Linked DNA regions of Macaca fascicularis. The protein of the gene in region 3 purifies or fractionates together with the protein of the main gene of each other region. This does not show direct contact. Links are inferred from orthologs where the notes say so. Each region holds a gene or a part of one and is shown on either strand. Other genes may lie near its edges. The genes, in order: SEH1L, NUP43 and NUP160.

What was found.
Region 1: the proteins of NUP160 (region 3) and SEH1L fractionate together in Homo sapiens (co-fractionation; 3 studies listed by BioGRID and IntAct, with this or other methods). This does not show direct contact. The link is inferred for Macaca fascicularis from reciprocal best matches to the Homo sapiens genes NUP160 and SEH1L.
Region 2: the proteins of NUP160 (region 3) and NUP43 purify together in Homo sapiens (affinity purification with mass spectrometry; 5 studies listed by BioGRID and IntAct, counting the BioPlex papers as one, with this or other methods). This does not show direct contact. The link is inferred for Macaca fascicularis from reciprocal best matches to the Homo sapiens genes NUP160 and NUP43.

What each region holds. Positions count from the first base shown.
Region 1 is NC_088392.1:81,000,868-81,005,072, reverse strand, and holds the start of SEH1L (nucleoporin SEH1), read right to left. Parts: upstream 2,817-4,205; 5' UTR 2,726-2,816; coding exon 2,615-2,725; exon of another isoform or gene 2,611-2,614; intron 1-2,610. UniProt on the Homo sapiens protein: Component of the Nup107-160 subcomplex of the nuclear pore complex (NPC). The Nup107-160 subcomplex is required for the assembly of a functional NPC.
Region 2 is NC_088378.1:57,718,849-57,722,400, forward strand, and holds part of NUP43 (nucleoporin Nup43), read right to left. Parts: intron 3,070-3,552; coding exon 2,947-3,069; intron 807-2,946; coding exon of another isoform or gene 757-806; exon of another isoform or gene 713-756; coding exon of another isoform or gene 609-712; exon of another isoform or gene 475-608; intron 1-474. UniProt on the Homo sapiens protein: Component of the Nup107-160 subcomplex of the nuclear pore complex (NPC). The Nup107-160 subcomplex is required for the assembly of a functional NPC.
Region 3 is NC_088388.1:17,983,439-17,987,693, reverse strand, and holds the start of NUP160 (nuclear pore complex protein Nup160), read right to left. Parts: upstream 2,832-4,255; 5' UTR 2,703-2,831; coding exon 2,501-2,702; intron 2,242-2,500; coding exon 2,130-2,241; intron 1-2,129. UniProt on the Homo sapiens protein: Functions as a component of the nuclear pore complex (NPC). Involved in poly(A)+ RNA transport.

The DNA.
Region 1 (4,205 bases), on a different chromosome or scaffold from region 3:
CCCAGCACTTTGGGAGGCCGAGACGGGCGGATCACGAGGTCAGGAGATCGAGAGACGATCCCGGCTAACACGGTGAAACCCCGTCTCTACTAAAAAATACAAAAAAAATAGCCGGGCGACGTGGCGGCGCCTGTAGTCCCAGCTACTCGGGAGGCTGAGGCAGGAGAATGGCGTAAACTCGGGAGGCGGAGCTTGCAGTGAGCTGAGATCCGGCCACTGCACTCCAGCCTGGGTGACAGAGCAAGACTCCGTCTCAAAAAAAAAAAAAAAAATTGAACCTTATTACCCAGAAAAAATATAGATTACAGTAAGAAGGTGCCCATTTCACCTATTAAAAATGTAACGAGGGCAACAACACTATGAAATCAATACTATCACTGGCAGTATAAAAACGGTATAACCTGAAAAATAGCAATTTGCCAATTCTCTTCACTAGTTTTTAAAATATCCACTAATTTCTCTTCTGGAATTAGCCTAAGAAAATCATTCAAAATACATAAAATGCTAAACTAATGAAAATTTTCAGTACAACACTATTTCTCACAAGACATGTATGTATATACACACACTGTACCATGGCAATTTAAAACGTTAAAGGAAAAACAGAGGAAATCAATAAATATTAACAAACATTAGCAATAAGCCTGTAATTTTTTTACTCTCTAAAAAGAAAAATATATTACTTGTTCATTTAAAAATATATACAAATAAATACATGGCTCCTCCTTTAAAAAAAAAAGTACTCTGGAATAAATGGACATAAGCGGGCTGGGCAAGGTGACTCGCACCTGTAATCCCAGCACTCTGGGAGGCTGAGGTGAGAGGATCACTTGAGCCCAGGGGTTCGAGACTAGCCTGGACAACACAGCAAGACCCTGCCTCTACAAAAACAATCTGTAGGCAGGCGTGGTGGCGTGCATTTGTAGTCTCAGCTACCGGGGAGGCTGAGGTGGGAGGATGGCCTGAACCTGGGATGTTGAGGCTGCAAAAAGCCAAGATCGCACCACTGCACTTCAGTCTAGGTGACAGAGCCAGACCTTGTCTCAAAAAAAAAAAAGGAAAAAGAAAAAAAAATTAAGTGAAATAAACCAAATATAAAAGGGCGAATATTCTATGATTCTATTTATCTGAGGTACCTAGAATATGCAAATTAATAGAAAGTAGTAGAAAAGAGGTTACCAGAGGGTGAGCTGGAGGCAACAGGGTGCTCTCGGGTACAGAGTTTCAGTTTAGGATGATGAAAAGGTTCTGGAGATGAGCAGTGGTGACGCTGCCCAGCAATGTGAATGCTGTGCTCAATGTCACTGAATTCTACACTTTAAAACGGTTAACGTAGTTTATTACAACAAAAATAAACTTGTTTCAAAAAAAGAAACTACATCGTTTAAGAACTGCAACACTACCTATAAAAAGTTTATCTTTGAGAGATCATTGGTATCAAACTCGAATGTGAAAAAGGAAAAACTGTCCTTTAGATTTTCAGTGACTCTGGAGTTGTCGAGAACCAAAATAAGCCGCACTCCAGCTTTCATTCATCCTGCAACACATCTGGGAGGTCCCTAAATCCCATATAGCATCCCCACATTCCTGTAATCTCAGCACTTCGGGAGGACGAGGCGGGCGGATCACGAGGTCAGGAGTTCAAGATCAGCCTGGCCCACATGGTGAAACACCATCTCTACTAAAAAATACAAACAAAAAATTAGCCAGGCGTGGTGCGCGCACCTGTAATCCCAGCTACGTGGGGATGCTGAGGCAGGATAATCGCTTGAACCCGGGAGGCGGAGGTTGCAGTGAGCCGAGATCGTGCCCCTGCAGTCTAGCCTAGGTGACAGTGACTCTGTCTCAAAAAAAAAAAAAAAAAAAGAAATTCTGCTTGTCGGAAGTGTCTACAGACTTTTACAGGAACTTCAAGAAACAAACCCTCCCATTCCTGCGCAGCAAGCAGAGAAGTCATTGGATGTAAACGGTTTGTATTTTTCTTCCTTGGCGTAACAAAGTGAACTTCTGCTCTGAACCCAGGGAGAAAACCATGTGCCCCAGTAAGAGAACACCGGCGGGGCACAGAACTCGACACAGCGCCGGCCAGGCAGAGTCTCCCACCAGGTCCCACTGCAGGTCCTCGAGTGAACAGTGCGGGCAAGACACGCCACGCCCAGGCGGACGGCGGGACGCCCCCGGGTTCCCGCCCCCGGGTTCCCGCCCCCGGGTTCCCGCCCCCGGGTTCCCGCCCCCGGGTTCCCGCCCCCGGGTTCCCGCCCCCGGGTTCCCGCCCCCGGGTTCCCGCCCCCGGGTTCCCGCCCCCGGGTTCCCGCCCCCGGGTTCCCGCCCGCAGCCACCGCAGCGCTGCCCGAGCGAAAGCCCGGCGTCCCCTGCGGGCGGGAGCGCGCACGCGGCACCAGCTGCGCAGGCGCACGGGAGCGCGGCCCGCGAGGCCGCCGTGACCCCACAATACGCGGGCGGGGAGGGCTTCCGCCCCGTCCAGCCAGGGCTCGGCCGCCACCCCACAGCTTCCCGCGGCGTCACTGAAACCCAGACACAGCCGTGTTCCCCGCACCGCCCACCCACTCCCCCTCCTTCCGGGCTCGGCCCCGCCCGCAAGCGCCGCGCGCACCTTCACGCTCTGATCGCTGGAGCAGGTCGCCATCCGCCGCCCGTGGAAGTCGAAAGAGACATCGTGGATGAGATCCTTGTGGTCCGCCGCGATGCTGCGAGCCACAAACATGGCTTCCGTCGGGCCCGCGCCTCCGAAGAGGACAGTGGCGGCGGCAGCGGCGGCGGCGCGCGGCCCGCAGCCTCGCCCGACCTCGCAGCCCGGGAGCGCACGGCGCGTGCTGCCCACGCCCCCGCCCCGCCCCTGCCCATCAAGCCCCGCCCACACCCCCGGTCCCTCAAGCCCCGCCCCACCCACGGGCCCGTCCAGCCCCACACCGTCCCCTGGCCCCTCAAGCCCCGCCCAGGCCCTGGCTCATCATGACTCGCCCCACCCCTCGGTCCCTGAAGCCTCGCCCCGCCCCCTGGCCCGTAAGCCCCGCCTACCCCCCGGGCCGTCATGCCTCGCCCCGCCCTCCCGCCCCCTCAAGCCCCGCCCTGTCCTCGGCGCCGCACGTCCTGCGGGACTGGTGCGGGTGCCTCCGGGCTCTGAGCGTTCGGCGGCGGCGGTTGCTCTGCAAAAGGCGAGTTACCTGTGATGAGAAGCAGTAAGAGGTTATTTGTATACTGTGAAATGAAGAAGGATGAGAAAGTGAAGACTGCTCTCGCGGTCCTCGTTTCCCCCAGACACGTGCGAGGCGCGCGGAGCGGGTGGAGGCGGCGAGCCGTGGGCGTGGTCAGGAGCCGCGCTCCGCAGGGACGGCCGAGGAGCCGGGAGGGCCGGGGAGACGCCTGAGGGCATGACGGGCAGTCCAGGCTCGGCCGCCGAAGAGCGCAGGCTGGACGGGGAGGAGAGGATCGGAAGTACTAGTTTAAATGCGTCAACGTTTTGCCGGCAGACCGGGCCCGGGGGTTCCAGGAGCCACCACGGGGTAGGGAAACAGTAGGAATTACCAGAGCCCGCCGGTAGAAACGTCATCCCGGGGGAAGGAAGCAGCCGGGGAACTGGGCCGCCTGCTCGCCGGGAGGCGGAGTCCTCGGGGAAAGGAGGTGAAGAGGACCAGACCCCCGGGAGGACGCCTGGCTCGGATCACGGATTCCGCCACAACGGAGAGTGGAGGAGCCTCTTCCGAGACGCCAGCGACTCAGGGGGCTTGCTTATAGGAAAAGGCATTCTGGAGGGCGTAGTGGGAAAGTTTAGGATGGAGACGGTGGAAGCTTGCGTCAGGGGAGCGAAAGTACAGAAGAAAAAAAAAACTAAAAATGAGGCTGTAGGAAATCCCTTTGGATTTTGGCCAGGAATGACAAGAATGTGAGGTATGGTAAGATTAGCAGGCTGGAAAGGTTTTTAAATGATTGGTCCCAGCTGTCCCCTGACGGATTGCACAGAAACCTGCAAACAGAAGTGGCGAAATGACCTTTTTCAACCGTAAATAAGATTGTATTGCTACCTTAAGAGGTGTACCCCACCTCTTATGATAACTGATAACAACTATAACTTTTTTGAGGGTCAAAGACACTCATATCCAAAGAAAGTGCTCACTATGAAAGTCCAATCAAAATATATTGATTATTATTAAAATACCAAAACAGTTTAAAAATTCTTTTAATTC
Region 2 (3,552 bases), on a different chromosome or scaffold from region 3:
GCTACAACCTTGGTGTCTTTGCTGTACTCTGCCTGTCTCAGGTCCTCAGCATTTGCTGTTTCCTCTGCCTAGAATGCTTTCATGTCACTTACACCTTCACTTCTCTTAAGTCTCTGCTCAAATGTTCCTTCTGCCAAGTGGCTTCTTCTTACGACTCTCTAACTAGAGTAGCTCCCGTCACCCCTGTCTTTATTGTTTTTCCACCTACTCTTGTGTATTCTTCTTCATGGTAATTAGCAGTGTATTTGGCCACATTATTTTCCTTTTTCTTTTATTTTTTTTTGAGACAGAGTCTCACTCTGTTGCCCAGGCTGGAGTGCAGTGGCACGATCTTGGCTCACTGCAACGTCTAACTCCAAGATTCAAGCGATTCACCGGCCTCAGCCTCCCAAGTAGCTGGGATTACAGGCATCCACCACCACGCCCAGCTAATTTTTGTATTTTTAGTAGAGACAGGGTTTCACCACGTTGGACCAGGCTGGTCTCGAACTCCTGGCCTCAGGTGATCTGCCCACCTTGGCCTCCCAAATTGTTGGGATTACAGGCGTTAGCCACTGCGCCCGGCCTCCTTTTTCTTTTCGGTCTCCTTTCCACTTTTCTGTGCTCTGCTATATACTGTAGGGGGTGGAAGTCAGCAAACTCCACTTTCCAGGCTCTTTGGCATCTGCCATCCAGATGGGCCTTGCCAATAGCAGGTATTCATGGTGAGTGACTGGAAGACAGAGGGGAGAAGCAGCTCCTTCCTGCTCCAGGTTTCTAGCAACAACACTGGTGGTAGTTCCAGCCTGGTTGAGGGAGCGCCTTTTCTGCTGATTCAGAACAAACTTTTACAGCATTTTCAACAATGCAGTAGCAGGGGTACTAACAATTATTATTTCTGGGTGCTCCCTTTTTTCCTATTTGTTCTCTCAACCCCTCTCCTATTACCTTTTGTTTTCCCAGCCCTTCTAACACATGTGAGACCAATTCCCTCTACATCAAAGGTAGTTTCTGACATTCTGATTGGACTCTTATTGATACATTATCTATTTTTTAACTGTCTACTAGAATATTTGCTCTATGCGTGTTGACATTTCGTTCTGCTCACTGTTATATGCCCTAACACCTAGAAGAATGCCTACATGATAGGCATTCAGTAAATATTTCTGAATGAATGAATAAGCAAAAGAACTATGGAACCACAGACAAACCCTCAAAAACAGGAAACTTGGAAAATGCAAAAACCTACAAACCCTTGATTACAACAAGAGAATGGTTTTTGGCTGACCATAACCTACCACTGACTATAATGAGGAAAAGCAGGCCCTTTTCTTTTTTTTTTTTTTTTGAGACGGAGTTTTACTCTTGCTATCCAGGCTGGAGTGCAATGGTACGATCTCGGCTCACTGCAACATCCATCTCCCGGGTAAAAGTGATTCTTCTGCCTCAGCCTCCTGAGTAGCTGGGATTACAGGTATGCGCCACCACACCAGGCTAATTTTGTATTTTTAGTAGAGATGAGGTTTCTCCATGTTGGTCAGGTTGGTCTCGAACTCTCAACCTCAGATGACCCACCCGCCTCGGCCTCCCAAAGTGTTGGGATTACAGGCATGAGCCACCACACCCGGCACAACTTGAGAAAAAACCAGTACCCTCAGTTACATCAAATATCAACTTTTTTCTTGCCATTCACACAAACTTGGCAATGCAATATAAAAGATTTGCCTGTGTCTGTGCTATGGCATGAGGGTCTAGGTCAATGGCACTCGCAAAGAAGAACCTTGGCTGTCTCAAGTGAGCCAGCTTACAGCATTTCTAGCCATCAGCCATACAGTAGTAAGTAACTTGACAGTCAGATTTCAAGCCCTGTGATACTCAAATTTACTCTGAGGCAAGAGAATAAAAATGTTTTGCCATTAAGTAAAAACTACAAGGATGTCTAATTTGGTATTTAAAAGTATAACAAGGCTGGGTACAGCAGCTCATGCTTATAACAGCAGCACCTCGGGAGGCCCAGGCAGGAGGATCACTTGAGCTCAGGAGTTCAAGACACGCCTGGGCAGAATAGTGAGAGCTCGTCTGTACAAAAAAATTTTTTTTTAATTAGCTGGTTGTGGTGGCAAGAACCTCTGCTCTCAGCTACTTGGGAGGCTGGGGCAGGAGGATTGCTTAAGTCCAGGAGGGCGAGGATGTAGCAAGCTGTGACCATGCCACTGCAGTCCAGCCTGCATGTCAGAGTGAGACCCTGTCTCAAACAAAACAAAACAAAACAAACAAAATTAAAGTACGATAAAATTACACATAACAGGCTGGGCACAGTGGCTCACGCCTGTAATCCCAGCATTTTGGGGAGGCTGAGGTGGCAGATCACTTAAGGCCAGGAGTTCGAAACCAGCCTGGCCAACACGGCAAAACCCCATCTCTACTAAAAATACAAAAAAATTAGCCAGGTGTGGTGGCACACACCTGTAATCCCAGCTACTAGGGAAGCTGAGGCACAAGAAAAGCTTGAACCCGACAGGCAGAGGTTGCACTGAGCCAAGACTGCACCATTGCACTCCAGCACTCCAGCCTGGGTGACTAAGACTCTGTATCCAAAAAAAAAAAAAAAAAGAAAAGAAAAAGGCCAAACATGGTGGCTCACTCCTGTAATCCCAGCATTTTGGGAGGCTGAGGCAGGCGGATCATTTGAGATCAGGAGTTCGAGACCAGCCTGGCCAACATGGTGAAACCCCATCTGTACTAAAAATACAAAAAAATTAGCCAGGCATGGTGGTGCATGACTGTAGTCCCCGCTGCTCGAGAGGCTGAGGCACAAGAATCACTTGAACCCCGGAGGCAGAGACTGCAGTGAACTGAGATCGTGCCACTGCATTCCAGCCTGGGTGACAGAGTGAGACTCTGTCTTTTAAAAAAAAAAAAAAAAGAGAGAGATTACACGTAAGAGTATTCATTAAAAAGTTGTACCTTGGTGAAAGAGTGATGACTTTTCAGGTATATCTGTGGAAGCATCCCAGTGCCAGAGGGATCCATCTTCAGAGCAGGTAAATAGATGATCTGGGTTGGATGGGTGAAAGTGAACTTCCCACACTAAGAGACAAGAATCAAGAAGCTCATTCCTGTGCAGATTCGCTGAACAAACAACATTAAACCCCCATCTCTAGGCACCATCTTCCATTATCCTCCATCGCATACCTTCAAGCCTCAAGTCTATCATAAAAATTAAAGGTTTCAGAATTAAAGACATAACATAACTTTCCAATGCCTATAACATGTAGAAAGGAAAAAGAACACTTTGGGAGGCTAAGGCGGGTGGATCAGCTAAGGTCAAGACCAGCCTGGGCAACATGGTGAAATACCATCTCTACTAAAAATACAAAAGTTAGCCAGGCGTGGTGGTGCATGCTTGTAGTCCCAGCTACTTAGGAGGCTGAGATAGGAAAATCACTTGAACCTGGGAGGCGGAGGTTGCGCGAGCTTGCACCACTGCACTCCAGCCTCGGTGACAAAGTGAGACTGAGAAAAAAAAAAAGGAAAAAGAAGCCAAATAAATTTGTGTACTGGGCAAGGAAA
Region 3 (4,255 bases):
ATTTCTTCCTGTTTTTATAAAAGAGATGGGGTCTTACCCTGTTTCCCAAGCTGGAGTGCAGTGGCATGATCAGATCCTCCCGCCTCAGCCTCCTGAGTGGTTAAGATGAAAGGCACATGCCACCCCGCCTGGCTAATTTTTAAAAATCAGGCCGGCCATGGTGGCTCCGCCTGTAATCCCAGCAAGTTGGGAGGCCGAGAATGGGGCACTGCTTGAGTTCGGCAGTCCAAGACCAGCCTGGGCAACCAGGCAAAACCCCATCTCTACAAAAACAAATAGAAAAATCAGCTGGGCATGGTGGCGCATACCTGTAATTGCAGCTACTTGGGAGGCTGAGGTGGGAGGGTCACTTGAACCCAGGAGGCGGAGACTGCAGTGAGCCATGATTGCACCACTGCACTCCAGCCTGGACAATGGAGCCACCAGACTGTCTCTCAAAAAGAAAAGAAAAAAAAACAGAAAGAAAAAAGAAAAAAAATTGTAGAAATGGGGTCTTGAACTCCTGGCCTCAAGAGATCCTCCCACCTCAGCCCCCCAAAGTGCTGGGATTACAGGTGTGAGCCACTGTGCCCAGCCAAAATATTTAACTAAATGAAATTTGTATCTCTAACATAAAGTCTCTCTTTTGAGCCTTAGACCTGTAAATTTCAATGCCTACTTGACATTTCCAAAGGGCTGCTCCCCAGGTACTTCAAATTTACTATGTCCAACAGAATTATTCATATCTTTCCAAAATCCATCTTCTATGGATCTCTGTAAATGGCAACCCCTCCCCACTCACATCTGGTTAGTCACATGAGACACCAGGGAGCTGTCCTTGTTCTCTCCTTTTCTTTTACCATCCCTTACCCCATATTCAATCCACCACCAAGTCCTAGTGAATCTATCTTCCAAAGGTATCTTGAATCCATCTACTTTTCTATTTCTATTCATTCCCACAATTGAACCACCAGCAACCCTTACTTGGGCCATCATAAAAGCAAACTTTTTTTTGCATTATACCCATCTAATCCAAATCCACTTTCCACAAAGTAGACTGAGATCTTCTAAAAATACATTTTAAAAAATTTAGATTCAGGGGTACATGTGCAGCTTTGTTACATGAGTATATTGTGTATATATTCCTATCTACATGAGGTTTGGGCTTCTAATGATCCTGCCGCCCAAGTTGTGAACACAGTAACTGATAGGTTTTCCAACCTCTGCTCCCCCGCTCCTTTTGGAATCCCCAGTGTTAACTGTTCCCATCCAAAAATGCAATTTTGATGTTAGTAACTCTTTAAAAACCTATTCCATTATTACTCAATGTACTTAGGATAAAATCCAAAAATCCTTAAAAATGGCCTAAGGGTCCCTCATGGTCCGAGTCCTGCCTACCTCTCCAGCCTCAGTATCTCACATTACTTTCTGTTTTACCCACTGCACTTAAGCCACACAGATCTTTGGTCAGTTCCAAACCTGCCACATTCTTTCCACTTTGTGACCTTTGCATATGGTGATCCTGCTTGCTGGACTCCTCTCTGTCCACTCCCCATACCTGGCTAACCTCGTGTCCTTTAGACCTCAGGGTAACTGTGAAAGCCTTTTCCTGCCCCACTAATAACATTTGGTCCTCTCATTAGCCTCTCGTAACCCCTGTATTTTTCCTCTAGGGCAAGTTTTCCTCCACAAAATTTCCCCATGAAAAGTGAGTCCACAACTATTCTGACATTGCTACAACGTCTTGCATGATGAAGATGGCAGTTTTGTTCATTTCGTCCTGGTACCTAGCACAATGCCTGACATATTGAAGCTCGAACATATTTGTTCAATGAAGGAAGCTGTAAAGCACTATAAAAACATAATGGGTTCATGTTTAAAACTAGTCTTATGGGCTTTATACCCCTAAGCTACATTCCCTCTGCTTTTGGTGTTGCTTGGTGTGTGTGTGTGTATTGGTGGGGGGGGAGGGTAAACTCTTCTAGAACTGTGTCTCAGTTTTCCCGACTCTGATACGAACTGAAAAAAAAAAACTTTCTCTTTCCCTAAGTGTCGATTACCGCTTCTAGAATAGCACTTTGGGAACAGCAACTAAAATTTACACACCAAACCCTACCTTCCAGGGGAGTTTGGCGAACCACAGCACTTACCAATGAATGAACCTGTTTCTGGTTACGGAGAACAACTTGCCACTCTCCACATAGTAAAAGCCTCCCGCGCTCTCACTGTATTTTACGGCGCCAGCCACGGCATTTGCGGTCCCTGCAAAATGAACGTGGTCAGCCTGCACACGCGTCTTCTGAGAAATGACAGGGACTAAGGGACCTGATAAAGCAGAGGGTGACAGACTGACAACCCATACAAAGAAAAGAGGAAAACGTCGGACATCAAGGAATCTCTGATCCCGGGGCTGGAGGCATGTGGACTCAGGAGGATGAACCCAGCAGTCAGAGACCCTAGGACCCATGAGAGGAGCCCGAGGGGACAGATCGGATCGCGCCCTCCCTGGCCACTTCCGTACCAATGCTGCAGACTGTGAATTCCCGAAAGTGCCTCGGCCTTTCGCGCTCAGCCCCGCTTAGCTCCACGAAGCTTCGTTCCAGGGATCCCGCCGCCGCCATCTTCCCGCCGTCGCCGCGATGCCCGACGGGACAAAGGCAGGGCCGCGCGGCCGCCGTCACTTCCGGGGGCGGGGCGGGCGGAGCTGCGGACGGGTGAAGCATCCCGGGAGCAGAAAGGGGGCTCCGGTCCTTCGTTGCGGGGCTTCCACCGGGAGAATGAGGATGGGCAGCGGGGAATCCAGAAGAGAAGCGGGCAGGGGAGGCCGACTGTATCTGCTGGAATCTTCGAGTGGCCGGCTGGAACGCCTCCGGAGGGCGGTGCCCTTTTCTCAGCGGCCGCAGGGCAGGGGGCGGGACCGGGTTTGTTTCTGTTTCCAAAACGCGGGGCTCAGTCTCCCAGGAGGGGCGAGGTCCGGGGAGGTCCGGCCTTTGGGCGTCCTCTGCCGGATCCCGGGTGTTTGGTCACCTCTCCCTCGGTTAGGGTGTCCGTCTGTAAATCTTTGCCGATCCTCCCTTCGCTCTTCAGTGGCACTTGGGTTGGCGGGGTGAGGAAGGGGTAGTGAGGGAAGGGCCTTTGGTTTTGGTCTTTTTTCCCCCCAAGAGACTGTATTCGTGTATTCCTGTATAATGAAACGTAATGTGGTAAACCTTGATGCTGCCACCTGCTGAGGTTACCTGAGTGCTACTCACTTGGATACGTGAAAAGAATTTGCCATTCATTCCAACCGTGATCTTGCACTTGGCTGTCAATGCAATAAGGGCCCATAGTGGATGTTTAGAAGATATTGTGGGGGTAGATGTTCAAAATCGGGGAAAATGCTAATCTCCAGCAGGGAAGGTTTTGTTCCTTAGTGATAGCCAACGCTTGTTGGTCACTTCTATTACCAGTGACCACAGCCATTCCCTGTCATTCTCCGTTTCATTTATCTGGTTCCGACCATCATTTCCTATCTTTCCACTTCACTCCCTCTGGGACACCAACTTTGGCAGTGCAGCCCCCTCATTCTACCTGAAATCCATTGTTATACAAGCTCTTCACTGTCCCTCACTTCTTTGGTGTTTCTTCCTTATCCTGAATACCATTAAATTACTTCATTGCCTAACTCTTCATCAGTAAAAACAACTTCGATTACATTCAAATCTGTAGCTGAACGTGCCTGAAGAAAACTATACACCAAGGTCGGGTGTGGTGGCTCACGCCTGTAATCCCAGCACTTTGGGAGTCCAAGACTTGAGGATCACTTGAGGTCAGGAGTTCAAGACCAGCCTGGCCAACATGGTGAAACCCGGCCTCTACGAAAAACAGAAAAATTAGCCGGGCGCAGTGGCTCACGCCTGTAATCCTAGCACTCTGGGAGGCCGAGGTGGGCAGATCACGAGGTAAGGAGTTCCAGACCCGCCTGGCCAACATGGTGAAACAGTGAGATACAAAAAATTAGCCGGGCATGGTAATGCACGCCTGTAATCCCAGCTACTCGGGAGGCTGAGGCAGGAGAATCACTTGAACCCGGGAGGCAGAGGTTGCAGTGAGCCTAGATCGCGCCACTGCACTCCAGCCTGGGTGACAGAGCAAGACTCAGTCTCCAAAAAAAAAAAAAAAAAGAAAAAGAAAAATTAGCGGGGGCATGATGGTGCGTGCATGTAATCCCAGCTGCTTGGGAAGCTGAGGCAGGAGAACCGCTTGAACCTGGGAGGTGGAGGTTGCAGTGAGCCGA